Ovis aries: one gene and its partners. The protein of the gene in region 3 interacts with the protein of the main gene of each other region in a biochemical or structural test. Links are inferred from orthologs where the notes say so. Each region holds a gene or a part of one and is shown on either strand. Other genes may lie near its edges. The genes, in order: ATR, RFWD3, RPA1, CDK1, ATM, PRPF19 and RAD51.

Evidence for each region.
Region 1: the proteins of RPA1 (region 3) and ATR form a complex in vitro, tested with the Homo sapiens proteins (2 studies listed by BioGRID, with this or other methods). The link is inferred for Ovis aries from reciprocal best matches to the Homo sapiens genes RPA1 and ATR.
Region 2: the proteins of RPA1 (region 3) and RFWD3 form a complex in vitro, tested with the Homo sapiens proteins (3 studies listed by BioGRID, with this or other methods). The link is inferred for Ovis aries from reciprocal best matches to the Homo sapiens genes RPA1 and RFWD3.
Region 4: of the proteins of RPA1 (region 3) and CDK1, one has a biochemical effect on the other in vitro, tested with the Homo sapiens proteins (2 studies listed by BioGRID). The link is inferred for Ovis aries from reciprocal best matches to the Homo sapiens genes RPA1 and CDK1.
Region 5: the proteins of RPA1 (region 3) and ATM form a complex in vitro, tested with the Homo sapiens proteins (3 studies listed by BioGRID, with this or other methods). The link is inferred for Ovis aries from reciprocal best matches to the Homo sapiens genes RPA1 and ATM.
Region 6: the proteins of RPA1 (region 3) and PRPF19 form a complex in vitro, tested with the Homo sapiens proteins (2 studies listed by BioGRID, with this or other methods). The link is inferred for Ovis aries from reciprocal best matches to the Homo sapiens genes RPA1 and PRPF19.
Region 7: the proteins of RPA1 (region 3) and RAD51 form a complex in vitro, tested with the Homo sapiens proteins (2 studies listed by BioGRID). The link is inferred for Ovis aries from reciprocal best matches to the Homo sapiens genes RPA1 and RAD51.

Annotation. Positions count from the first base shown.
Region 1 is NC_056054.1:247,100,564-247,104,063, forward strand, and holds part of ATR (serine/threonine-protein kinase ATR), read left to right. Parts: intron 1-313; coding exon 314-484; intron 485-2,236; coding exon 2,237-2,431; intron 2,432-3,500. UniProt on the Homo sapiens protein: Serine/threonine protein kinase which activates checkpoint signaling upon genotoxic stresses such as ionizing radiation (IR), ultraviolet light (UV), or DNA replication stalling, thereby acting as a DNA damage sensor.
Region 2 is NC_056067.1:1,596,559-1,600,058, reverse strand, and holds part of RFWD3 (E3 ubiquitin-protein ligase RFWD3), read left to right. Parts: intron 1-1,537; 5' UTR 1,538-1,539; coding exon 1,540-2,117; intron 2,118-3,500. UniProt on the Homo sapiens protein: E3 ubiquitin-protein ligase required for the repair of DNA interstrand cross-links (ICL) in response to DNA damage. Plays a key role in RPA-mediated DNA damage signaling and repair.
Region 3 is NC_056064.1:22,789,323-22,793,513, reverse strand, and holds the start of RPA1 (replication protein A 70 kDa DNA-binding subunit), read right to left. Parts: upstream 2,801-4,191; coding exon 2,768-2,800; intron 1-2,767. Other genes in the region: SMYD4 (SET and MYND domain-containing protein 4), read left to right, coding at 4,118-4,191. UniProt on the Homo sapiens protein: As part of the heterotrimeric replication protein A complex (RPA/RP-A), binds and stabilizes single-stranded DNA intermediates that form during DNA replication or upon DNA stress.
Region 4 is NC_056078.1:15,814,874-15,819,020, reverse strand, and holds the start of CDK1 (cyclin-dependent kinase 1), read right to left. Parts: upstream 2,801-4,147; 5' UTR 2,730-2,800; intron 267-2,729; 5' UTR 242-266; coding exon 205-241; intron 1-204. UniProt on the Homo sapiens protein: Plays a key role in the control of the eukaryotic cell cycle by modulating the centrosome cycle as well as mitotic onset; promotes G2-M transition via association with multiple interphase cyclins.
Region 5 is NC_056068.1:17,556,450-17,559,949, reverse strand, and holds part of ATM (serine-protein kinase ATM), read right to left. Parts: intron 3,356-3,500; coding exon 2,984-3,355; intron 2,234-2,983; coding exon 2,042-2,233; intron 1,302-2,041; coding exon 1,206-1,301; intron 102-1,205; coding exon 1-101.
Region 6 is NC_056074.1:34,605,910-34,609,962, forward strand, and holds the start of PRPF19 (pre-mRNA-processing factor 19), read right to left. Parts: upstream 2,801-4,053; 5' UTR 2,581-2,800; coding exon 2,562-2,580; intron 902-2,561; coding exon 752-901; intron 556-751; coding exon 479-555; intron 1-478. UniProt on the Homo sapiens protein: Ubiquitin-protein ligase which is a core component of several complexes mainly involved pre-mRNA splicing and DNA repair. Required for pre-mRNA splicing as component of the spliceosome.
Region 7 is NC_056060.1:34,474,521-34,478,020, forward strand, and holds part of RAD51 (DNA repair protein RAD51 homolog 1), read left to right. Parts: intron 1-236; coding exon 237-354; intron 355-1,493; coding exon 1,494-1,585; intron 1,586-3,500.

The DNA of each region.
Region 1 (3,500 bases), on a different chromosome or scaffold from region 3:
ATTATGGATAAGGTACTCTGTTTTAAGAAAGGTTCACTCAAGAAAGGTTCATTCTGAAAAGTTGGGAAATGTTAAAATACAGGCTTTGCTCTGTGCTAGTGGTGTAATCCTTAAGAACATATTCCAGTTTAACTAAGCCTGTTTACTTCATCTATAGAAGGGTGTTTATATATACCTCATTAAGGTTGTTATAAAAATTAAATGAATTATTCAGGTAATATGTTTAGAACTCTGATACTGGCCTTTATGTTAGCCTAAAACATAATAGTTAAATGTTCTTCCTTGTGTGAAAACTAACATCATTTTGCTCTAGTTTTTGGTAGAATCCCTCCACTCCAGTCAGATGACGGCACTTCCTAGTACTCCATGCCAGAATGCTGAGATGCGAAAACAAGATGTGGCTCACCAGCGAGAAATGGCTTTAAATACCTTGTCTGAAATTGCCAATGTTTTTGACTTTCCTGATCTTAATCGTTTCCTTACTGTACGTTGCAAAGTATAGTTGACTTTATTGAGGTTTTCAGTTCAGTATTTTGTGTTTATTCCATTCTCTCTCTATTTTTTAAAAAAATCTGGTATTGTTTATTATCTGGCAAGTATAATGAGGACCATAGATTTTCAAATTTACATGTTATCTTTTGACTTTGATATAATATTACTTATGTTATAAAAGTGAAATATGTGTTGTTTTGAGTCATTGCTCTTTATGGTTAGCTATCTTGAAAAGTTAATACTAATTAATTAATGCTAATTAATTCCATTTACCAAGCATTTATGTCTTTAGTGCTATGATGGGTTTCGTTGGTAATGCAAAGTCTAATATGATCATATCTATCCCTAAGTAGTGGGAGTACAAAATAATGCTATAGATAACATGTGAATTCAGATAATCAAGTTTGTAGTATGTAGTGGTTTGGGAAGCCTTTGAAAAGTCATTAGTGGGGCTGAGGTTTCAAAGATGGATGGTGTAGGTTATCTTCTTATGTGTTCCCAAAGGCAAAGTTTATTATTATTAGTTAATAAATTATAATAATGATCTAGGCAAAATTTTTCTCTACAGAATTTCATATTTTAACAAAATTAAATTGTGTGTAAATTGGACAAATCTTAGAAGAAACTATGATACTGTGCTCTAAGGACCACAAAGATATTTTTAACCTTTTCATTTAGTAATTTCATCTGGGGACCTCAAAGCAGAGGTTTACTGCAGCATTATCCAAGTATCAAATAAACAAAACCCTGAGAAGAAACTTAAGTATCTAATAATTAGGTCATAAAATATTATGCACTGTAATACAATAATTATAAATACTTGGTAGAAACTACCTTATAATGTCCAGTCTTACTGGATTAAGTTGAAAGACATAACACAAATAAGGTGTAAGTACCTCTGAGGGTAGGGTTTGGGTCTTGTTTATTGTCATATCTTCAGTGCCTATAATAGTCACTGACATGTAGTAGTTGTTCGTTAGATATGTGAATAAATGAAAGGCCAATCATTTTATGTTTGGAATTTTATATATTATTTAAGAACAAGATCTTAAAGGAAATAGACCAAAATCAAAATAGATTTGTTGCCATGTTGGGATGACAGTGTATTAAAAAGGTTTTCTTTAATATTGTAGCATCAACTTCTTTTTTTTTTTTTTACACTCAACGTATTTTATTTTATTTATTTTTTTAATTTTTATGTTTACTTTATTTTGCTTTACAATACTGTATTGGTTTTGCCATACATTGACATGAATCAGCCACGGGTGTACATGAGTTCCCAATCCTGAACCCCCCGCCCTCATCAACTTCTTAATTTGAAGAAGTTAGAATACTGTATTTATGGCTCCTTTTGTTTATTGTCTAAATACTAGTTAGATCAAATAATAAATCAAGCTTGAAACCTCTGCTTTAATTAAAAGCATGAATACATACTAATGAGAAATTATTTTCTTTGCCTCTTGAACATTAGCTTCTTTATTTCTATCTCTCCCCACCTCCAGTGTAAACTTCATACCATCAAGAACCTTGCCTATTTTTCACTGCTGTATCTGCAGTGCCTGTGCCATAGTAGATGCTCAGTACACGTCTGTTGAGTGAATAAGTAGTAAATCTGAATTCAGATATGTTGTAGGTGGACTCCAAATTTGGGTGGTATTTTTCATTATTTTTGTACATAGCTCATGTGAATATTTTATCACCTGGTCAAATATGCTTTTTGGTAATTGTAGTGTTTCTTTTTCAGAGAACATTACAAGTGTTGCTTCCTGACCTTGCTGCCAAAGCAAGCCCTGCAGCTTCTGCTCTCATTCGAACTTTAGGAAAACAATTAAATGTCAATCGTAGAGAGATTTTAATAAATAACTTCAAGTATATTTTTTCCCATTTGGTCTGTTCCTGTTCCAAGGATGAATTAGAACGTGCCCTTCATTATCTAAAGGTAATTGAATGTTTGTATATGTTTTACTCTTTTATGTAAATTAGTATTATAGGAAAGCTATTGTGACATTCTTATGGAAGTAGAGTGAGTAGTTTATAATTTATCTTAGAGTAATATAAGTTCAAGTGGTACATAAATAAGTATTGTCCTGGGCCAAAGGAGAGTATTAAATAGAAGTATTCTTTTGTTATTTTTTTTATTGTTTTACAGTGATGATATGTGATAGTCATCTATGCATGGATCAGCTTCTCAACTAATTTCATTTTAGAATTAATTGATTGGAACTATCAGTGACTAATGATAGATAATTATATCTGTCAGAAGAGGCAATATCCTTCAACTGTAGTATTATGACAGCATTGAATTTAGTTACTTCGTGCTCTGATTACAGTTTGGCCCACTTTCTTGCTAGTTTTCAAATTTAAAATTATAGCCTGTGCTGCAAATTTTGGTGTCGTAGTAGCAACAAAATCTGAGGAATAAGAGGCTACATGGGAACAAGAGAACCTGTCAGATATGCATATGTAACTATTGTTTTCCTCCAATGTTAATTTATTTCCTGTATTTCATGATATGCCAGCTATGGATCTCTTTCTACATGAGTCTTTTTGAGTATTGAGTGTATTTATTTATTTTGAGATAGAAAATCTGTGTTATGAAAGTGGAATGGTAACAGCATTCCAATGCTTACATGTCGGAAACTTTGCTAAGCAATTTTTATGGATTATTTCACTTGCGTAACTCCTCTCAGTTACCCAGTGAGATAAAGTACTATTATTTTTCCATTTTGTGGATGAGAAAGCTAAGGCAGAGAGAGGCAGAGCCACTAACTTGCCTCTCAGCAGTTATATTTCTTTGAATGTAATGACATTTTAAAACTTTATAAAAAACTATACTCCCTTTAAAAAATTTTATTTCAAAATAAAGTCTGATCACTTCTCTTTTTTACCTGTAGTCCATGCAAACCTACCAGGAAAATTCAAGATTAGAATCGTTTTCCAATGCCTTTTTAAATATTATTAGTAATTCTTGTCACCTGATCCAGAGTTCCTGATTAACTATAGCATAT
Region 2 (3,500 bases), on a different chromosome or scaffold from region 3:
TATGCTGACCACTCCAGTCTGGCCTCTACTCATCACTTTGGGGAAACAGCTCTTTTCTAGATTATCTGTCACCTCTACATTGCTAAATCTAGTGGTCATTCTTCCCCTCAGTAGCACTTGACACACTTGACTGTCCCCTCCTTGCATCATTCTTCCAAGACACCACACTCTCCCAGGTTTTCTCCTACCTCATGGTCTTGGTTTCTGGGTTCTCTTCCTATAACTGTTATCCTTTTAATGTCTCTGGTATTGGTCCTTGGCCTGCTTTTCTTCTATCTCAACTCCTTCTTAGGTAGTTAATCTATCCCAAGATTTTAAGTGGCATGACTATACTGAGGATTCTTAAAGCTGTCTACTGTTCCATCTCCACTGCTACTAGTCTTGCCTCTGTGACCACTAGTTTATACTCTCATAATAGCCTATGAAGTGGTCACTTTGCCTGCACTTTTCCTCCCTTACAGTCCATTCCTAACGCAGAAGAAACTCCTTACCAAGGTCTTCTAGTGAAAGTGTTGTGTATCATCAACTTTACTCCTCATATTAAACCTCATACTGTCTGCTCTTTCTTACTATTCTCGTTATGCTGGGCTTCCTAGTTTCTCTGACGCACTAAACCCATACTTAGCAGACACCTTGTATTAATTTTCTTCTGAAACTCTTTCTTGGCTCTTCATACGGCCAACTTCTTTTAATCCTTCTTGTCTTGGTTTAATTTTCACTTATAAGAGGCCACCTCTCACTGTTGTGTCTTGCCCCCCACTCTCAAAACCAAATGGCACAATATATAATTTTTCACAATGATTTGTTTATTCTCTCATTTGCTAGAATGTAAATTGTATTATGCTGGGTCTTGTCCACTTATCTGTTTGCCTCTGTGGAGTGTCTGACTATATGACAGATGCTTAAATATTTCTTGAAAAATAGACTAACGTAGTGGAGTAGAGACAGGAAACAAATAATGAAAGGAACATAACCAGTGCTTAATAAATATTTGTTGAATGGACTAACAAATGGACTTAGAGATAGAAAACAAAAGTAATGAAAAAGTTGAAGTAAATAAAGGTTGCTCAGCCTTTTTGGAGGAAATAGGTTAATTTCTATTTTGAGTTATTAATTGAGTTATTTTGTGGAAATGTTCTTTCTGTGTTTATTTTTTGCACTTTAGTGCCATGAAAGATGAATATTGCCTACTAAAATTAAATATAGCATTGTATGCATTTGTTGTAGTAAATGTCCATATATAGGTCATGACAGAACTGCAAGAGGTCTGGGGGATTATTTTCAATAGTTCAGTTCTCTTATTTTATAGATTCTTTTAAAGACTAGTGCTGTGATCACATGACTTTATGTTTTCGAAGGGCAAACAGGATAACTGGTTAAAAGTCCTTATAAGAAAAGAGCTAAAATCATCTTTTAAGTTTCTCAGTTTTATCAAGAATGATCTTAAACAAGTATTAAATGATAGACATAATTAGATAAAACATGCCACGTAGCTGATACATTTTACTAATACTTTTTACAAATATTGCTTCCTCAGTGATGGCTCATGAAGCAATGGAATATGATCTTCAGGTGCAATTAGATCATGGTGCTGCAGATCAGCCTGCTCCTGCGGAAGTGGTCAGCAGCCAAGGGGGACCACCCCTGCTCCAGCCTCCTCATACTGAGGAGGTCAGCAGCCAGGAGGGACCACCCGTGTTGCATCCTATACTTGCTGAGGTGGTCAGCATCGAAGGAGGACCACCCCTGCTCCAACCCATTCCTGAGGAGGTGATCAACAGCCCAGAGAGAGTGCCGCTGCTTCCGCCTATTCCGCAGATATCTGTTGATCTGACAGAGGAAGTGGAGCTCTCAGGAACAGAGACTGTGGGGAACCTCAATCCAGGAGTTTTAGAGGAGTTTAGGCTGGAATCTGATGCTAACCGCACTCCCCAAGTGCCTTCATTGGATTCAATGAACAGCTTCATCAGTGGGCTGCAGAGACTTCATGGCATGCTGGAATTCCTGCGACCAACTTCAGACCGCAGTGTGGGGCCCGTGAGAGCGAGGAGGAATAGGAGGAGTTCTGCTTCACGGAGGGCAAGAGCAGGAGGGTCCCAGAGGACAAACAGTGCCAGGTAAATAGAAATGTAAATAGTGGGATTAGTACCTGATTGGGAATTATGAACTTTAGGCCCTGATGATAGCCCCAGTGCTGCCAGGAATTGGCATTGTGACTTGGCAAGTCGGGTAACCTTTCGGAACCCCCAGTACCTCATAAGTCAGATGAAAATGAAATTACTTGGTTTATTTACTTCACAAAGTAGTGGAGAGGATAAAGGTATACAGATAGGTTTTGAAAACTTGTTGGTAGTTTGTTAGCAGTGGTGTCTGCAGAGGCTGGCTTTTCTTTCGATCATTTGTCTCTTGTACATCAAATATATACATATATATATTTAACTTGCAAGTCCACTCCACTTGCCCAAGATTCATTGTTCATTGGCACTCCACTTAGTGGTACAGTAGATTTTGTAAGATGGGCAGGCTGGATTTAGAGAACCCTTGTGAAAAGTAGAGTGTGAATTAATATAGAACTTATCTGACTAAGTGGGAAACATTCTAGCCCTCCTCTCCTGAAACTGTGTTGTAGAGTTAAAAATAATTTTCTTCTATAGGTTTTGGTTTGAACTTGCCTCTTGAAGGGGTTAGCTGTCAAGTCTTGACAGTTATTATGAAGAATAACAGTTGTCTATATTTTAATCTGTTTTTTAACTTCTGCTTTATTTGAAATACTTAGTTCCACAGCTGGCTTTCTAAATGTCTTCATAATGTTGAAAGAAATTGAATTCAACCTTTTCATTTTAAATGTGAAAGAAACTTGGACCCTGAGAGAATGATCTATTCAGGGTCTCGGAGTTGACAGTACAGAGGAAGTTAGAGCTGATGTTGGAACCTGGATCTGACTGTTGTCTACAAAAGCAAATAAAGGAAGCTTCAATCAGATCCATTTCTCTAACACTGTGAAAATAATGAGAGGCTTCCATGGTGGTCCCGCGCCTAAGACTCTGCACTCCCAATGCAGGGGGCCTGGGATCAATCCCTGGTTAGAGAACTTAATCCCACATGTGGCAACTGATAGTTTGCATGCCACAACTAAGACCCGGCACAGCCAAACAAATAATAAAAAATAAATATTGAAAAGAATGAGATGGCACTAAATAGTGGTAGCTGGGCCATCTGTTATCTGTGTTTTACAAATGAGGAAGATGATGGGGTGATTTATGATTTGACTGAGATAACCCTGGACTTGGAATTGTGCCTTCTGATTTTGGATTTCAGCATCCTTTTCAATGGATCCTGCTGATTAGTGTATCAGGGCTGCTGTTACTGTGGCTGTAGTCTCTAATGCCTGGTCAGTGCTGGATGTGATCCATCAAGGGTGAGAAGAGCCTAGTTCTGTGTTGACAGGAGTTGCAAGTGCATGCTGCTCTGTTATTTTAAGGTGCCATTTACAATGATTT
Region 3 (4,191 bases):
CAGGCTCGATGTAATATACAATAGGATTAATATAATTAACGATGCTAAATATGAAAGTTGTTCAGAGAGTAAGTCCTAAGAGCCCTCATGGCAAGGAAAAAAATACTATTTTTCCTTTTGCATGTGTGTGTGGTGACAGGTGTTCACTAAACTGATTGTGGTAACAGTTTCACGATGTGAGTCAGATCATTATGCCGTACACTTTAAACGTACACAGTGCGGTATCAATTACATCTCCATAAAACTGTAAGGAAAAAAAATACAAAGCAACAGAAGGTAATGCTCAAAAGTATGTGTTCAAATCCTCAGCTCGTGCACAAACTAATTCTCTGTATTTTAATTTCTTCGTCTGTAAGATGGGGTTAATGATAAAAATCTACCTTACAGGGTTACTGTAAGTACTGACTATAATGAAATATCTGGCACATTGGAAATGATAAAAAATATTAGTTCCCTTCCCCTCTCTTTGTATTACCTAATTACTTAAGACAGAAATACTATTTGTTCTATTTACCACAATAGTTCCATGAATAATCTCTTATGTTAGCTCTTGCTGAAAATGTCCCTACTATTTGTGTGCGTTAGTTGCTTGCCCTTTGTGGGGGGGGGGGTCTATGTCTTTTGAACTAAAATATTACTTGCTTTAGATGAGAAATTTGACAATGGTTCTCTACCAAAACACACACATAAATTTTCATTGTCATTTATGAACAAGATCTAAGTAATACTACAATTTTGAATGTGACAAAAACTCAGCAAATTATTTAAATAATACCTTAGTCACTGTTTTAATTTAAAAGTAAAGAACTCCTAATTTGTCTTAAAGATGCAAGGTTGCAGCTATAAAGGAGACAAGGACTACAGTTTGCAATCACTTCTAAAGGTTAATTATTTTTAATGTATTAAAATATTCACTCCGCTTTGCCAAAAAAAATAAAAAATAAAATAAAATATTCACTCCGCTTTGCCAACTGTGCCTCTCCATCCAGCTCTGTCCCTTTCTTTTCACTGCCTCACACGCAAGTAGTAAACATTTATTGGGCACCTAATACCTGCTAGCACTGCTCCAGGAATCGGGGAGACTGTGTTGGGCAAAAAAAAAAATCAGACAAGATTTCAGGCTTCAGAGCATTTACAATCCAGTCGGGGGGGTGAGAGAAAGGAACTGACATTAATGAAATGAACAATATTTAATGTAAAATCATATCTGCAACTGTTAATAACAGGTAACAAGTAATGCACATATATTATGTATCAGACATGGACTAAGCACTTTAAATTAATAGCTCATTTAATCCCTCCACTAATCACAGGCAACAGGTACTAGGTATGATTAGCCTGTGACAGAAGAGGAAAGACAAAGTTTAATATCTTGCCTGAAATCACAGATAATAGGTGAACAAGCAGGAATTAGGGTCGGAAAATAAAAGGACTTAAGCCTAGCAAACTGAGTCAAGGAAGAGTTCTTTGAGGAAGTAACTGAGTGGAGACTTGAAGATTATGTTAGTCAACAGGAGAAGAATGAAGAACACCCCGTTGTTAATTGGCTACACTCCAATACAAAATAAAAAATTTAATGACAATAATTTTTTTAAAAAAGCACCACCCAGGCAGTAGGCACAGGTTAAAGAATGTTCAAAGCCCCTGCGGAAGGCAGGAGTATGAAATATACCAGGAATTTACAATTTACATTTTAAAAAGCTGAAAAAAAGGAAAGAACAGGTAGGAATATGCCGTGTTGGGAATGGCAGGAGGAAGATTATGCTGGGTTAAAGGAAGAAGGCCAGGCACAAACAATGGTGCCTGGAGAGAAGTAGCTGGATTTAAGAGACATGGGTGAAGGCATAACAGACCAAACTTACGTAGGGTGACAGCCAGGGTGAGAGTTTAAAGGAAGAATGATTCCACAATTTCTAGCTGGCATAACTTAATGAATAATGGTGCCATGCATCCAGACAGGTGACAGCAGAGGCCCAAATTTAGGAAGATATTAGATTTTCTTTGGAACATGTTGAATTTAAAATGTCTTTGAGATTATCAAGTACACAGATGACAGAGGTTTGTCTTTCAGAGTAAAGCTGGCCCTGCACAAAAAAAAACTTGTGAGCAACTGACACAGAGACGGTAATTTTATTGTTTTGGGAGAAGAGGGCCTAGGGTTGAGCCTTGAGTCAACAAAAATTTACAGAAGGATCTGAAAATAAGACGGGGAAAGACAAGCCAAGCTGAAAATAAGACGGATTTTCTCCCGTCTTAGAAGAGGATGCTACCGGAAGAAAGCTTTGCCCGATAGTCAAACGCTGCTGAGAACTGACAGATTTAGATCTCCAAAGTGTCTGCTGGACTTAACAACCCCAGGAGGCACTGCTGACTTCAGCCAGGGTTACAGCGATCAGGGAGGAGAGTGACTAATTCGAGTCGGTTAAAGGGGAATGCGAGGCGAGGAAAAGAACTGAAAACTAACAACTCTTGCAAAAAGTTTCGCTGCGGATGGGGGAAGGGAAGAAGAAAGAGTGGCTGCAGGAGAGAGATGGGGGAAGATCAATCGTTTACTTTGTTTCAATTCCTGAAGCAGGAAAAACATGAGCATGTTGAAAAAGATGACGATAAAAATGCGTTAACTGATGATTCTAGGGAGTCATCCAGGGGTTCCTACCCAACCCCCGCTATCACTCCGGCTCCTGTGTTCTCTCCCCCTCCTCCACCCGCACGGCCCCAGGGCCCACAGCCGCCCCGGACCGCGCCCAGCTCGCAGGCGTCGCCTCACCGCAATGGCCCCCTCGCTCAGGTGGCCCACCATGGTTCCGCTGCAACAACTCCCGCGCTCCGGCTCCCCCAACACAAGCCTGGCTTTACTCCCGGGGACCCGCGCGCTCCAAGGCGATTGGCCGGAGGAGCTGCGTGAACCGCCCCCGCCTCCCGACGTGCGCACGGCACGCGGCAGTCTCAGGGCCAAGCAGCCGCCGCATTGGCTGAGGCGCGGCACGCGGCTCACGTGACCCACCGGAGTCCGGGTCCCGAGCCTTGTTGCGGGATGGCGGGGGCCTAGGGGCGGGGCGCCGAGCGCTGGGGCGCGCGAACCGTGACGCGGGCGCCGCCAAGGGCGCAGGGCGGAGGGGTTCCGGGAGCTTTCCCCGCGGGCTCTAGGAAACGTACCGCGCTCGGCCTTCGGCGGGCAGCCATAGACTGCTAGCCCAGAGGAGTGTTCGAGGGGTTCCCTGATAATTCTGCTACTGAAAGTAGTCGAAGCAGTGACTCGCTTCTTTCAGCAACACCGAGCTGAGCTCCCGCAGGTGCCAGACCCTGAACTGGGCACAGTGGGGGGGGTCTCTCAAGGTAAATAAGACCTGGTCCCTACTCCCAGAGGGGAGCACAGTATGTCGAGGGAGTTTCTGCTGTGAGTAGCCTTAACTCAGTGTAGACGTGGTTTGGGTCCCAGGAGAGACGCAAAGTGTGCGCCTGTCGTCACAGGTGCCAAAATCAGGGAAGGCTTCTCGGAGTAGGAACCATTTGAACTGAGTCTTGAAGGATGTGTGCAAATTCGGATAGTAGGGTATAGAGGAAAAAGCGAGACTTGATCAGAAAGTAGGTCAGGGGTCAAATGATAAAGGGTTTGTACTGGGCTTCCCCAAGTTCTAGGAGGAGCATCAGTGAATTTAAGGCAGAGAATTGACATCGGTCTCAGTATGGAGGATGGACTAAATTGGGAAGGGGGAACAGGGAGGGATAGTCTGAGGGCCTGAAGACTAATTATGACACTCGAGAAAGAATGCCAGACAGGAAATGGTGAGGGCTTGAACTAAAGAAGGGACCTCGGGATTGAAAAGAAAAAACTGAACTATGTAAGAAATCTGATTCATCATTGTATAACCGTTCCCTAGTACGATGCCAGGAACAAAGTCAGTTTTCAGTAAATAATTTCTGAATGAAGGGATGTGAATTGGTGCGGGAGAGGATACATCCTTCCCTGGCATGTAAACAACTGTAGGAAGAGACTACAAGATCTGATTTTGTGGCCTCGTGGTGCATGCTTGAATGAAATCGATTTTCTGGAATTATGCATTTGTAGAAAACTGAATTCCTTGTTTTCTTATTCATTTTTTAGGTCTGAAGTAGCATGGATCTGCCCGTGGATGAGTGGAAATCCTACGTACTTCAGAAGTGGTCTTTGCTCCCCAAGTCCATTCAGGT
Region 4 (4,147 bases), on a different chromosome or scaffold from region 3:
GAGACATGTCAGAATAATTTCAGTGCTCTTGAAAGGTTAACTTTTTTTTTTTGCTTATGCTACTATATATAGCATATATATATGAGAACATATATATTAATGTACTAATGACTGTTGGATACTTTAAAAACTGAATTTGAATATTTACATGTCAAACCATTAAATCATTTTTAAAATTCCTTGTATATTATTAAAGCCACTCACCTTCTCCAATTTTCTCTATTTTGGTATAGTCTTCCATAGTTAATCAGTGGGTACGGTAGATCCTAAAATGAGAAGAAAAGCTTATTTGATCACATGTCACCAATTCAAAGGGTGCTTTTAAGTTATTGATAAGATATTACAAGTAAAGAATTTCCCACTGTGCCTAGAGCAGTACTAACTTTCCATAATAGGACTTCCCTCACGGTGCAGTGGATAGGAATCCACCTGTCAATGCAGGGAACACAGGTTCAATCCCTGGTCCAGGAAGATTCCACATGCCACAGGGCAACTAAGCCCAAGCATCACAACTACTGAAGCCTGTGCACCTTGCTGGTGCACCGCAACAGAGAGTAGCATCCACTTGCCTCAACTAGAGAAAGTCACTTGTGGCAATGAACATCCAGTGCAGCCAAATACAAATAAATTTTTAAAAATTTTTCCATAATATTAGCTATTCTATTAAAACAATATTTACAAGGGGAAGAGCTCAAGACTCTCCCACCTTTCTTAGCTTCTGAAACATTGGAAATATTTGTATATCCTATACCTGGATAACTTTGGTATACTAAGTCGCTTCAGTGTCCGACTCTGTGTGATCCTATGGAGCCTGCCAGGCTCCTCTGCCATAGGATTCTCCAAGCGAGAATACTGGAGTGGATTGCCATGCCCTCCTCCAAGGTACCTTCCTGACCCAGGGATGGAAACCACTGTCTGTTATGTTCCCTGCACTGGCAGGCAGGTTCTTTACCACTAGAGCCACCTGGGGGCTTCTTTCAAAATTAACTTTCAAATTCAGACATCAACATCTATCCGTCCCAAAGAAAACCCTGATGTTCTTTACATAAGACTTCCAAGGCTCATCAATGTGCGCCAGTTATACCCAAATAGTTTAGCAATGAATGCTACTTGAATTTGTAGCTTCATGATACTTTTATGAAGTTAATAAACAATTTTTAAAGACATGAGTAGGGAGCTAAAATGTGGTCACACTGTTCAACCATTAGAAAATATTTAAAGCAGCAAAAGTATATTCATTTCAACTTGCTCAAATGACAGTTTTTATCTTTCTCTTGTTGTCAGGAGTCACGTAACACAAACATGATAAAAAAAAACTTTCAAGATACCTTTTGTAAAGTAGGAAATATCACTAAGCACTCTAAAAGAAAATGGGCAATTCCATACATAAAGTCTAATTATATCCCATGCAATGTCAAGAACAAAGAATGTCCATATACTTGAATCACACACACAAAAAAATGGTTAAGAAAAAAAAAGCCCAAATGACAACCAGATACTCAAGACTTCCTGGTAAGTTTGCCATGGAAACATCAACTTCAGAAGCCCAAACCATCATTTTATATCACTGATAAAATCATAAAGGTCACTGAACCTTAAGTTACATTGACCCTTGAGTTAAATTTCTCACATTCTTTTTCAAAATCATTCCAGACACAAGCAGAGATAAACTTTTTTAAATAAACAAAATTGCACTACTCTGGCCATCTTAAAAATGTTCAATTTTACAAATGGCAATGGATTAGGACTAACTATCTTTTCTTCAATATCCAGCTGTAATATGCCCAAATCACAATGAAACTGTGGAGCTTATTTTAAACAAAATAACTGAAAACTAACTCAATTTCAAAGCTGGGTTCAATTACTCTTTCACCTTTCCCTGGTTGCAACTATTTTAAATAAAGGATGTGGCTTCGTAATGCCTTTTGAATGCCTCCTCTATTCCTAGTGGCAGGATGTAAAATACCAATGGCTTCATCCACCCAGACACCTCCAGGTCTTTAAAGAAAGCAAGACCTGCACGTTAAAACTGATTAAAGGATTTTAAATGACACGTTTCTAACTCTCGGCGTTTCTTAGATTTCCAGTTTTTGCCAATTCCATTGTATGTAACAACCACCAAGCATAAAATAAAATCCAAAAAATCCAAGTTCTCTCGGGGTCTATGCCCAGGATAAGTGTTCTTAAAAGCTCCAGGTAAGCTAGGGTCATGGGAGCAGAGAGGCAAGCTGAGAAGGCCCACAAGTTAGTTCTTCCGGTCGGTTTCCCGTGACCACCTGGGATTAGAAGCAGGCCCGAGCACCGGGCTGAGTTGCAATCTTGCTTTCCACTCCCGGAGGCGAAGCTAGGAGCTGCAGGGCAGAGCCTGGCACTCCACAAGCGCTTGGTGTCGGCGAACGAAGGCACAAATCTGCCTTCCATCAACCCCAGAAAGCCTCCTCAGCCGCCCGCGACCCCAGATTGCAATTCAGAGACCACAGCAATGCCAACCCTGCCTGGCCGGGCTGGGCTCCCCCACGCCTCCCACTGAAGCCGAGGTTGGGCGTCGCTCCATGCGCAGGCCCGGGGCCTCCGGTTAAGGCCGGGCTTGGCGGTACGCAGAACCCCACTGCCCAGAGCCCAGCCTCCCAATTATCACCTGCTTCATTAATACTCCCCCTCCAAGGTCCGCGAGCCAGCCCTTCCGAGTGGACACCCCATAGGCAACACCCTGACCTCACCAACGCTACCCGGCTTTATCCCGCGGCGAAAGCTGCGGCGGCTACCAAGTCGGCGACGCTCTCCCTAACTTCCAAGCGCCAGCTTTGGAGCTAAGTGCGAGCAGTTTCAAACTCACCGCGCTAAAGGGTCCTGGATTCACCAATCAGATAGCCCGTAGACTTTTAAAGGAGCCAATCAGAGCCTAGCTTCCCTTAACGCTGGCCTCCCCGGGTGGCTAGAGCGCGAAAGGTGGAGGAAACGGCGGCTGGAGAAAAAGCAGAAGGGCGGGCGCCAACTGAGTCTGAGCGCAAGCGCGTTCCAAGATAGGGTCGTCTTATTGTTTCTAGTCATAAGAAATCTACTGTCCTCTCAGGGTTGGGTTTTTTTCTCTCCCAATATTGGCACAATAAAAATTTGAGGTATTCAAATAGTTCATCACAGAAGTGGTGCTACACGTAATCCAGATCCCATTACTTTCATTTCTGATACTGAAAGCTAATGTATATTTATGCTTTTCTAAAATAATGAATCTCAGTCTGGGTCAAAGAGCATGATTCTGCATGTCCCAAGGGGAAGATCCCTCATGCTCAACTTAAGACTCAAGGCAGCCAAAAAACAAAACAAATAAAGTTTGTTTTAATAGAAAGAGGTAATAGAAAACTAGGAAAGATGTCCTCAACAGGGTAAAGAAACTTTTCATATATATATAAATATATATATGAATATGAGTTAGATACATTTTTGTCACATTTCACACACATATATGGCTGAGCTGTTTTCACCTCACTGTTTTAAATTTCATTTTTAAAATCTATGTAACATTTTGACTTAAAAATTAAAAAGCAAAATTTTTCTTTTCTTAAATGTTAAAATATTCTCACATCAGAATTTTAAATGTTCTTAAAAACACAAAAATTCACACTTCTGTGGGAGAAGAAAAAGATCTAAATTACACTTTAAATAATCCCGTATCCCCAAACTCTTTCATTGCCCTCCACCATATCCTAAAGAGATTTCTGCACCTGAACATCATTCTTAAGTCTTTAAGAAAATAAAAAAGTAAAATAGAACTGAGGATAGTAAGAGTCTTTCCACTGACTGTATCGAGATCTGGAACAAATACTGATTACCATGCCCTCTACAACTATGTGTTTGATGATCCAGATTAGGATAAGGAATGGAATAAGTTTATCACATGGCCCCCTATATGTGGCACAAACACTCAACCTTGGCAATTTTGTGCTCCTGGGTGACAGAATATTTTAAATTCATAGTAGAAGTACGAGATTTGGGAAAACTTGGCCTGAACCTAATAACTTTTAAAACTTATTTTTAAAATCTCAAATTCACATTTTAAATGAAAACTGCCTTAAATTGCCTTAAATAAAATGAAAACTGTGTTCTAGAGAAGACTATTCTCTGCTAGTTTAGGGTACTAATTTTAAAG
Region 5 (3,500 bases), on a different chromosome or scaffold from region 3:
TCACAATGGTTAAAAAATCCATCTTGTCAAAAGTTGTCTGAAGAAACAGATCTTCAGCTTCTGAGAATGAAGGTTCTTCTGTATCTTTTTGGTGTTGCTCACTTTAAAGAAGTAAGATTTTAAATTTATAAGATCAAATTGTCTACTATTTTACCTTCATACAGCATCAAATAAAACATTAACTTAGCATTAACACTGAATCTATTTTATTCAAAGATTGCTCATGTAATTAGTGAATTATTCTTTTAAATGCTTTTCTTCTTTGGATTTTGATAACTACTTACATTGAATTTCATTATTCAGTAGCAATTTCACTAACAAATGGACAAGAGAAATAAAAGATTCAATCTAAAAGGCAAATTCAGGAAATATCAAAAAAACATTAATTAACAATAGATATAAACATTAAGAATAACATTATCTAAGGGACTTCTCTGGTGGGCCAGTGGTTGAGAATCTGCCTTGCAATGCATGGGACACAGGTTTGATTCCTGGTCAGATCCCACATGCAGTGGAGCAACTAAGCTTTCACGTGGCAAGCACTAAGCCTGTGCACTCTGGAGCCTGCTTGCCACAACTAGAGAGCTCATCTACCGGGCCCACGTGCCAAACCGAGAGTCTGTATGCTACAATAAAAGATCCCACGTGTCGCAACTCAGACTCGAGGCACACAAATAAATAAAGAAAAGAAAATGAAAAACAAATTGTCTGAAAACTTTTCCCTTTTTTTCACATTTCTCCAAAATGTAGATTTATTTCGTATTATGCCCTCTTGAGAAAGACTAGAAACTTCATGCCAGTGAATCATTTTCAGTCACAGTGATAAACATAAGCCTCTGAAGCCAATCGACCAAAATGGGGTTTTTAGATTTTTGTTTTCCCTATACTAAATTATCATTAGTTTTTAAAGTAGTCATTCAGATTTTATTTGACATATAGAAAAACCCTTTCCCACATGATGTTTATGTTCTTAATATCCCATCATAAATACATTACAGAACATAAATTATAATTATTGAAATAAAAGAAATTTAATTAAGAAATTTTACTTAAGAAATTTTAATTAAGAAATTTTCCCTTGCCTAACAGTTATAATTTTTTTAATTGACCAATTTGGTTCACAATTTTTAAGATGTAGCTACCACTCTGCTAAAATTATTATCTTTGTTAATTAAAACAACACAGAACTCCATTAGGAAACATACCATTCTGGCACACTTTGGAAAAAATTCATCGCTGCTTTACAATTTTTCATAGTGAGACTCACGAGAATTTTCTCCAGGGTAAGATGAGGAAAATTACTATGAAGTAAAAATATAGATCTTTACTTAAAAGACCAAAAGCCATTTAAAGCATTCTTTAAACTTAAACGCCCACGCTTAACTAAAAATATTGATCTCTAAAATTTGGACCCCAAATTGAAACTGTTTCCATCTGTACTAAATTTCTTAACAATTGAAAAAGTACTTAAGGAACATAAACTTTTTGTTACTATCATTTTCAGGACTTCTAGATATAGGACCACATTCAATTTTCAAAGAGCCTAAACAACTGTGAAATTAAAGTCAAATCACTAGGATCCAGAGGAGCCCCTTCAATCACTCAGTTCCAATTACTGACTGAGGAAAGGTTAAGTGGGCAAGTTGCTCCCCATTTTAGTGCTTAGGTACCAGTTTGTCTTTTTTCATTTCTTTCCCTCATTAATTTAACATATTTAGCCCAGAAAGCATTCTCCTTATGATTCCACGATATACCTGAGTGGATGTATGTTCAGATGGACCTATTCAGGGACAATCATAAACATGTAACTCTCACTGGTCTAGGTAGTGAGAGAAAACAAAGTAAAAGAACTTGGGCAAAGATTCAGGTACAAAGACACAGAACACTATAAAAACAAAGGGACTGCTTAATAGTTAGGACTAATTCTGGAAAATCCTGGAAAATCACTGCAAAATAAAGCCATCTAGTATCAAATAAGAAATGGAGAGCACCTTACAAAATAAATTTTAAAAGCAGCAGCATGCTAAGGAACTCAAATTACCTGCAAAGAATTGGAGGTAGTTCTGTACTGTCTTCAAAGTCATCCTCTAACTGACAGAATAAGAGCCATTTCATTATCAATTCCTTTAAAGAATTTCTGCTTACATCACATATATTTTTCTCAATTCCTATTTTTACTGATTCTGGAACTACACAGATTGTCAGTGCCAAAGTCAAACAGCATACTGCAGGACTGTCGCAAAACAAAAGACAATTAATATTAAAAGTAAACTTTTTGCATAGAATACAAACTATGGTTACCAAAGGGAAAAGGAGGTGGGAGAGGGATAAATTAAGAATTTGGGATTATCAGACATAAATTACTATGTGTAAAATAGATATACAACAAGGTCCTACTATATACAGAAGGAACTATATTCAACATTCTATAATAAACCATAATGGAAAAGAATACGAAACAAACAAACAAATATATATACACACACACACACACACACACACACACATATAGAAAAAACTGAATCACTTTGCTTATATACCAGAAACTAACACAATATTGTAAATCAACTATACTTCAGTTTTAAAACAATTAGGCTCTTAGAGGGACAGGGACCATGTGTATCTCTTTACTACTCTGTGGTCAATTTTTAGGACATGTCCTGGCACACGGTAGATATATAAACTTTTATGGACTAAATGAGCACAAAAAATTCGACTACATTTGAGAAAATTCTTGACTAAGTACTATCTTATTGTAACAGTATGCAATACTAAAAGAAATAGTTTATTCTATTTATGAGCAAACAGATATGTAATCTTTAAAACTGGGTTTAGTAATCTCTTCATATTTCAAACTTATTTATTAAGACTTCCTTAACAAACGAAAGAATCTGAAACAGAATTTAACATATTTTTAACTGAAGTTAGAAATTACAAAAATCAGGAAATATATGCTGCAAAATATAATTAATAGTCAACTTACCATGAAGGTCTACAGGCTGACCCAGTAAATAACTTCCAGAATTCTCTGTCAACCTCAACTAAACTGCCTTGAATTATGGCTCCAAGTAAGCCAAAGTTTTCTGTTTGTATTTGTTCAGAACTTATACCACGAAAAGTAATAGACCAAATTTTAATCCAGATTTTCAATAAATCTGACTTCAGTGAGCTTTCTAGGTTTGACCTCTTGCCTTGACACAATGCAACTTCCATAAGACATCGTAACACATATGGTGTGCGTTCCCCATGTCGCTGTTGAGGTAGAAGCTGGTATAGTATCATTAGTAATGGTGACAACTCACAGTTAGGTAAACTTGCAGGATATTTTGATATTAATTGAGTTGCGATTTGTAACCTAAAAAAAAAAGTACAAATAATTTGAAAATTATTCTACTGCATTAAGATGCCAAAAGAAAATAAATATATAGACATAGTACTCATACAATATCCTAATTAGAACATTGTCATCATCATTTTCCAGACTACCCTCAAAATAAACT
Region 6 (4,053 bases), on a different chromosome or scaffold from region 3:
CACCTCACCAGAAAGGAATAAAAACACTACAGCTGCTGTTTATTGACTGCTCTCATTGCGTCAGGCACTGAGCCAGGCAGTCCTCAAGATGCAGTCTTTGACTCATTCATATTTAGAGCACCTGCTGTGAACCTGGTTCTCACTGCTGGGGCTCTAATGAGTAAAACAAGTCCCTGACACCATGAAGCTCATACTCTAATTTTACTCTGAGTCTCTGTAAACCCTGAGACAGGTACTAATCCATGCAATATGGTCAGGAAAAGTAGCACTTGGATACTTGCCAAGGGACGTGGCAAGTGGGCAACGGAGCAAAGGGTGGAGCCCAGATCTGTGTGACATTAAGAACCAGGCTTCTCTGCTCTCACCCTCCCCTCAAAACAGAAAATAAGGCTCCATCCCTCCCATCCCCACCCATGTCCTAGTCCAGTGATCCCTTCTTTTCAAGTCGCGAAAATATAAATTCTCTTCGGGGACTCACCCACTCATCCTGCAAGGCTTTCAGAATGGCTGGGATGCTGGTGGCTGAGGGAGGCTTGGGCCGGATTGGGTGAGCAACTGCCAAGAGAGACAAAGTGGGTGTGAAAACCCATGACCTAGGGCATGCTGGCCCTCCCACATTCTTTCTTTCCCCTTCAGCACTAACAGACCACCGTTTCCTCCCCTGGCTCCCACATGCTATGCACCCGCCACCCTTCCCACCTTCCCAGGCTTTAGGCTAGGACAGCCTGGACTGGGGCTGGCCAGCAGGCACCTTTGATATCAATGAGCTGCTCCTCGGACAGAGGCTGGTTGTTGATGGGATCTGTGCCATTCTCTGCAATATACTTCTCAATGAGCCGCCGCTCATACACATGATTAGAGACGGGGGACACACAGGGGTGTTCTGGCACTTCATTGGAGACTGCGGAGAAAAGGCAGGTGGTGAGCCTGGGGTGGTGACAGGGACCCTGGGCCAAGGGGACGCTTCACCTTCGGCTGGCCTCCACAAGACCTTGCTCCCTACACTCAGCTAACAGGAATCAAGACATGACACCAAGCCAGTTTTGGACTGTACCCACAATGCTTTCCAGCCACTTAACTAGCTTCTCCATCAGTCTCTGACAGTTAGGTAGTCAACAAATAATTGCTGCACAACTACTAAATGCTAGGCACCTAGGGAGCAGTCAATAATTCCTGCCCATCTCATTTCTGAACAAAAACGCTTAGGCACCCATTATATAGCAGGACAAGAAGATACACACAAAGCCATTCAAGTCTCAGACTAGGACCTAGATGGATTCTCGGACACATTACAAACCGATGTGACAAGTGCTATGATAACAAAGTATTTACATGGTGTTTACTAGGCGCCAAGCTCCACTGTAAACACTTTCCATTGATGAAATCATCCTCACCACTCCCCAACAGAAGTATCCATTTACATCCCTGAGGATTGGGACTGTAGCTGCTCTCTGACTTCCAGTACAATGCAGGTGCTTGGCAAATGCTCAGGAAACATCTAACAGACCAGCTGATGGATACTGAAAAGACCTTCCTCAGGACTGAAACAATGAATGTGAAAATACTCTGCACACTGTCATTTCTTTAACGCTTAAGGACTCTTTTTCTAGTCACATTTCCCTTCACTCTTTCTCTCCTTTATTTTGGATTTATGGGGAGGTTCTGAGAAGAGTCAAGAGCTCGAGAGTTAGGAAGCCGAGAGAGAAAAGAATGAGAAACTAATAACCTGATGAACAACCACTCTCCTCAATAACATATCCAAAAGACAGGACAAAGCATTTGAAAAAAGCATGGATTCAGGATCAGAGAAACTGGCTTCGTCACACAGCTCTGCCACTAACTAGCTGTACTGTTTTACAAAAGCCACATTTCTCCTTGAACCTTACATCCTTATCTGTAAAACCGGATCTTTATTTCTGCTTTGGAGAATTGCTGTGGGGACAGAACGACTCTGCAGTTTTGCAAGCACGCTGTAAACCAACAGAGGCTTTTCCAAATGTGCAGCTGTTTTCATCAGCCCTACAGGGTGAGGCTGGTCTGGCTCCCAGGCCTGTCACCGCCTCCAACTCACTGTGCGATCTTCGCAAACTGCAGAAGCGCTGCCTACCCAAGCGGGGCCTCAGACAACACATCCAGTGCCAAGGCCATTATTTTTGCAGTTGGGGAAACTGAGGACCGCATCCCGGAGCCAGATCACAAAGCCAGCTGGAGGCGGATCCTGCACAAGCCCTCTGGCTTCCTGCTTCCTACAGAGAGCTCTTTCCCCTGCACCACCAGCTCCCCGCTATCCAAGCCTCATATCCACTGCGCAAACGAGATGGGCTGCCTCTGTGCAGCCTGCGAGAATGCACCGGAGACGTTATGTAAACTATGAAGCGCTGCGCAAACTGACCTCACGCTGGAGGAGGAAGACCCCCCCGGGCTGACAGGCCGCCGCCCTGCCTCCCCGGAGCCCCGTTTTTCAGGTCCAGCCCCGACCCCGGCGCCGCAGAGGCGCGCAGATCCTCACGCTCAGCTCTCCGGCCTCCAGCGCCCCGCGAGCGGCCGCAGCCGATACTCACTAGAGCAGATCAGAGACATGGCGCCCTCGCTGCACTCCGAGGCTCCTCACACTGGACTCCGGGATCAGCTACTGGGCCCCCGCGGGACACTTCCAGTTCCCTCGCTGCTTCCAGACGCTCCGCTGCGAGCGGGGAGCTGCCCCGCGGAGCGATGCTTGCGAATGGCTTCACGTGGGACTGTGGCCAGTCGCGCGCCTCAGCCTCCAGAATTTAACGGAAACTGTCCTTTCCCATAATGCAATCAGGCAGGAAAGGGCGCGCCAGGAAATACTCGGCTATTTCCGGGCCCTCTCGGCTAGTTTCGTAAAGCTCCAATGGCTGGGAGAGGAGATTCGAAACTACATTTCCCTTAATGCACTGGGACCTTAAAGCCAATCAATTTAGCTGCACTCTTGAGCCAGGGGCGGTGGAACGACTGTCTTGCAAATATTGGAGTATATGAGAATTTTTTTTTATTTTTAATGCTATTAGTCTTTTATTTCGTGAGCATGGTATACTTTGATTTACTTGAAGTGAAGTGAAGTCGCTCAGTCGTGTCCGACTCTTTGCAACCCCATGGACTGTAGTCTATCAGGCTCCTCAGTCCACCCAATTTTCCATGCAAGAGTACTGGAGTGGGTTGCCATTTCCTTCTCCAGGGTATCTTCCCAACCGAGGGATCGAACCCGGGGCTCCCTGTCTGCAGGCAGACACTTTACCGTCTGAGCCACCAGGGAAGCGGTCTTCTGTAATATTTTTTCAGTATAGTTTTATATTATTGTCCATAGTGGTTTTGCATATTTTATGTCTATTTTTGAGTACTCCATAATTTTTTATTCTATTTTCAAATTTTTAATTTATTTTTAATTGGAGGATAATTGTTTTACAATGTTATGTTAGTTTCTGTAAGAATTTCTTAAGGAACTTTTAAAAATGCATTTTTCTGGGGTCTCATTTAGAGAGTCTGCATTTTCAGTTCGTGCCCCATGTGTTTCTCTGGCAAGTGTTTCTCAGAGGATTAGCTTTGGAAGACCCAGTGAAGACGAAGATACACATGGGTAGAGAAGCTAACACTGGCTAAGAAACTCTTCTGGTCTTGCCCCTACTACCAATTTGCTCTGTGATTTTGGGCAAGTCATCTGCTTCTTGGACACACTGGCCTTTCAAGCCCTCAAACTTATCCACTCTGGTTCCAGATCCTTCACCTGGAACACTTTCCTCAATCCCTGCCCTTCTCCCCACCCCTCCCATCCTTTCCAAAGTAAATCCAATCTCACCCTAAATAGCACTTCCTCTGGAGTCTCTTTTCTTGACCCCTGACTGAATTTTAGTCCCCACAGCACCCTGTAATTTTCCTCTGAGTCCCTCTGGGATAGCTATAATAATTTATTTCGAAGAACTTATTATTTATTTTTGGTTGCGCTGGGTCTTCACTGATGTGAGAGGGCTTTCTCTAGTTGCAGTAAGCAGGGGTTACTCTTTGTTATGGTGTGTGGACTCTCATTACAGTGGC
Region 7 (3,500 bases), on a different chromosome or scaffold from region 3:
TGAGTATATTATTTGAATTGACAATTAAACAATTGCCAGTCTTCTTGGAGTCTCTAAATTAGTTTATCATTTATTTGCCAGAGAGAAAATAATCCTAGAACTAGAACTTACGAGTAAACTTTTTAAAGAGAAATCATTCTGGAAATTTTGTTAGATGTTACCTCTTCCCACTACATGCCTGATTCTTACTTTACTAAGTGTATTTCATCAGTTTGACATTTCTTATTTTTCCCCAGACTGAGGCAGCTAAATTAGTTCCAATGGGTTTCACCACTGCAACTGAGTTCCACCAAAGGCGATCTGAGATCATACAGATTACTACTGGCTCCAAAGAACTTGACAAACTGCTTCAAGGTATCGTAATCTCTTATCCTATGTCATGAACTATGGTTAACAAAGCATCCAGGTTATAGAACATAACTAAATTATTTGGTTCATGTTTATGTGTTAGAATTAAGAAATAAAGGAAAGTATTCCGTAAGACTGAAGGGTGAGGCTGACTTTAAAAATACGAAAATTATCTGCCAATTCAATAATTTAATCTCCAATTAATAATTGCATTCTTGAGAGTCATCTCCCTCTGCCTAAAGAAATAATATAATCTTTTACTCTACCACAAGGTAGAGAATCTGATGGCTGGTTAAAATACTACACTGTAGTATCAGCACGTTGTGGTGCACACTAATTTTCAGGACTTGATGCAAAGCTGTAAAGTTTTTGAACTTTTGAAAGCATCGCTGTCCTAAATTTTAGTGTTGGGTTGGTTCTTGCTGCTTCCCCAAATATTTGATCATGTAAGTTTCTTTTTTGGGGGGCACAAAATAGCATGAGTTCAGGAGTCACACTCAGATTTGAGCGTTTGCTTTCCCTCCTGTTCCCTCTCTGGTGCAGATTACTTATATTCTATGCCTCAATTTTCTTATCTTATTGAAGAAGAAAAGGTCTTACCTTTGACCTCATAATGAGGTCAAAAAAAGCTTCCTACCTTATAAGTTATTGGAATTAAATGAATTGATAGCACAATGACAGATACACAAAAAATACTTGGTAAATGTTAGATATTATCTATAATTTATTTTTTAAATGACTGCTTATTGACTTGTGATGGTATTATTCTGTATATTGGTTGTGGTGATACTTACATGAAGCTACAGATATGATAAATCGCATAGTACTACACAGACACACAAATGAGTGCATATGTAGCTGGAGAAATCGGAATAAGCTCTGTGGATTGTATGGATGTGAATTTTCTGATATTTATACTATAATTATATAAAACATTAACATTGGGGGAGGCTGGATGAAGAATGCATGGAACCTCTATATTTCTTTGCAGTTGTCTATGAATCTAGAATTATTTCCAAATGAAGTATTTTTAAAATTACTGCTTATTGAAGATTGGGTCTCTAAATTATATAAACATCTCTCTGATGAGCTACTGGGACGTTTCTATGGTTATGTTTCTAACATTTGTATTGTGCCTTTTTTAGGAGGAATTGAGACTGGATCCATCACAGAGATGTTTGGAGAATTCCGAACTGGGAAGACTCAGATCTGTCATACATTGGCTGTAACATGCCAGGTGAGCTGTTGGGGCTCTGCCTAATCATATCAGCAAGAATGAGTTGATTCCTGCTACTGGCAAGCATCTGTTAGCATGGACCAAAAAAGCACTTTCTCTGTCTTCAAAAATGCGAGGGGGACTTTCCTGGCAGGGCCAGTGGTTCAGACTCTGAGCTCCCTCTGCAGGGGCACAGGTTCAGTTCCTGGTAGGGTATTGAACCTGTGCATGCTGCGTGACTCAGCCACAAAAGAAGAAGAATGCTGTGGCTAATTAGAAGACAGGTTGCTACTGTAGGACTTCCAGACAGCTCGGAAACTTTCAGATTATTAATTTCACATACATTCTTGCTATCCACTAGGCCTCTCCTGGCTTTTTCTGCCCTCTTCACTAGTTTAGATTTATGATTCTTCATTAAAGTCATTCCTTTACAGATACCCTCAGATTTACACTCCCCATCTGAAGAGATGCCGTTCTTAGATGAACCCTATCTGTTTTCAGTGCCTGATTTCCCCAATAGCTGATCATACTAGAGAAAAATCTTAACATAAAGCTGGTTGACCTCACTTTAAATTTAAGATGACAGGCTTTAACATTCAATACCGCTTGGCAGATCTCCTGAAAATTTTTCATTCAGGCAACGTTTTCCTCCACTCAGTAAGAATCTTCGTAATTTCTCCTTTTTCCTCAAAATTTCATGCTTCTCTTCAGCCTCACTGTTAGCCAAATTAATCTAAACTGTTCTTCACATCAAAACTATAAACTCACGTAGCTTTTATAAAAATTTTATGAAGTATAGTTGATTTACAATGTTATGTTAATTTCCGCTATCTAGTAAAGTGGTTCAGTTATACTAATAAGTACATTTTTTTTTCATATTCTTTCCCATTGTGGTTTGTCGCAGGATTGTATTTGTTTATCTGGCTGCATTAGGTCTTAGCTGCACCATGCAGCTTGTAGGATCTTTGTTGCGTCATGTAGGATCTTTCACTGCAGCGTGCGGACTCTCTAGTTGTGGCACACGGGCTAGGTAGTTGCATTGCTCAGGTTCCGGAGCATGCGGGCTCTAGTTGTGGCCATGGGCTTAACTGCTTCACAGCATATGGGATCTTAGTTCTCCAGTGAAGGATCGAACCCATGCCCTTTGCACTGCATGGTGGATTCTTAACCACTGGGTCACCAGGGAAGTCTCTTGTAACAGAACATTGAATGTAGTTCCTTGTACTGTATAGTAGGACCTTGTTGCTTATCCATTCTGTATAATACTTTGCAGCTGCTAATCCCAAACTCCCAATCTATCCATCCCCAACATCCCCCTCCTCCGACTTTTCTCTATGTCTGTTTTGTAGATAAGTCCATTTGTGGTACATTTAATTTATTTTTTAAAATATAAATTTATTTACTTTAGTTGGAGGTTAATTACTTTGATCACATTTTAGATTCCATGTGTAAATGATATCACATGGTGTTTGTCTTTCTCTTTCAGACTTAGTTCACTTAGTGTGATAATCTCTAGGTCCCTCCATGTTGCTGCAGATGGCAGTATTTCATTCATTTTTATGGCTGCGTAGTACTCCATTGTATATCTGTATAGTAGTCCATGGAGTAGTATTTCATTGTATATATGCACATCTTCTTTATCCATTCATCTGTCAGTGGACATTTAGGTTGCTTCTATGTCTTAGCTGTTATGATAGTGCTGCTGTGAACACACGGGTGCATGTATCTTTTAGAACTAAAGTTTTGTCTGGGTATATGCCCAAGAGTAGGATTCCTGGAGCATATGGTAACTCTATTTTTAGTTTTTTGAGGAGCCTCCATACTGTTTTCCACAGTGGCTATACCAATTTACATTCCTACCCACAGTGTAGGAGGGTTCCTTTTTCTCCACAACCTCCCCAGCATTTGTTATTTGTAGGCTGTTTAATGAGGGCCA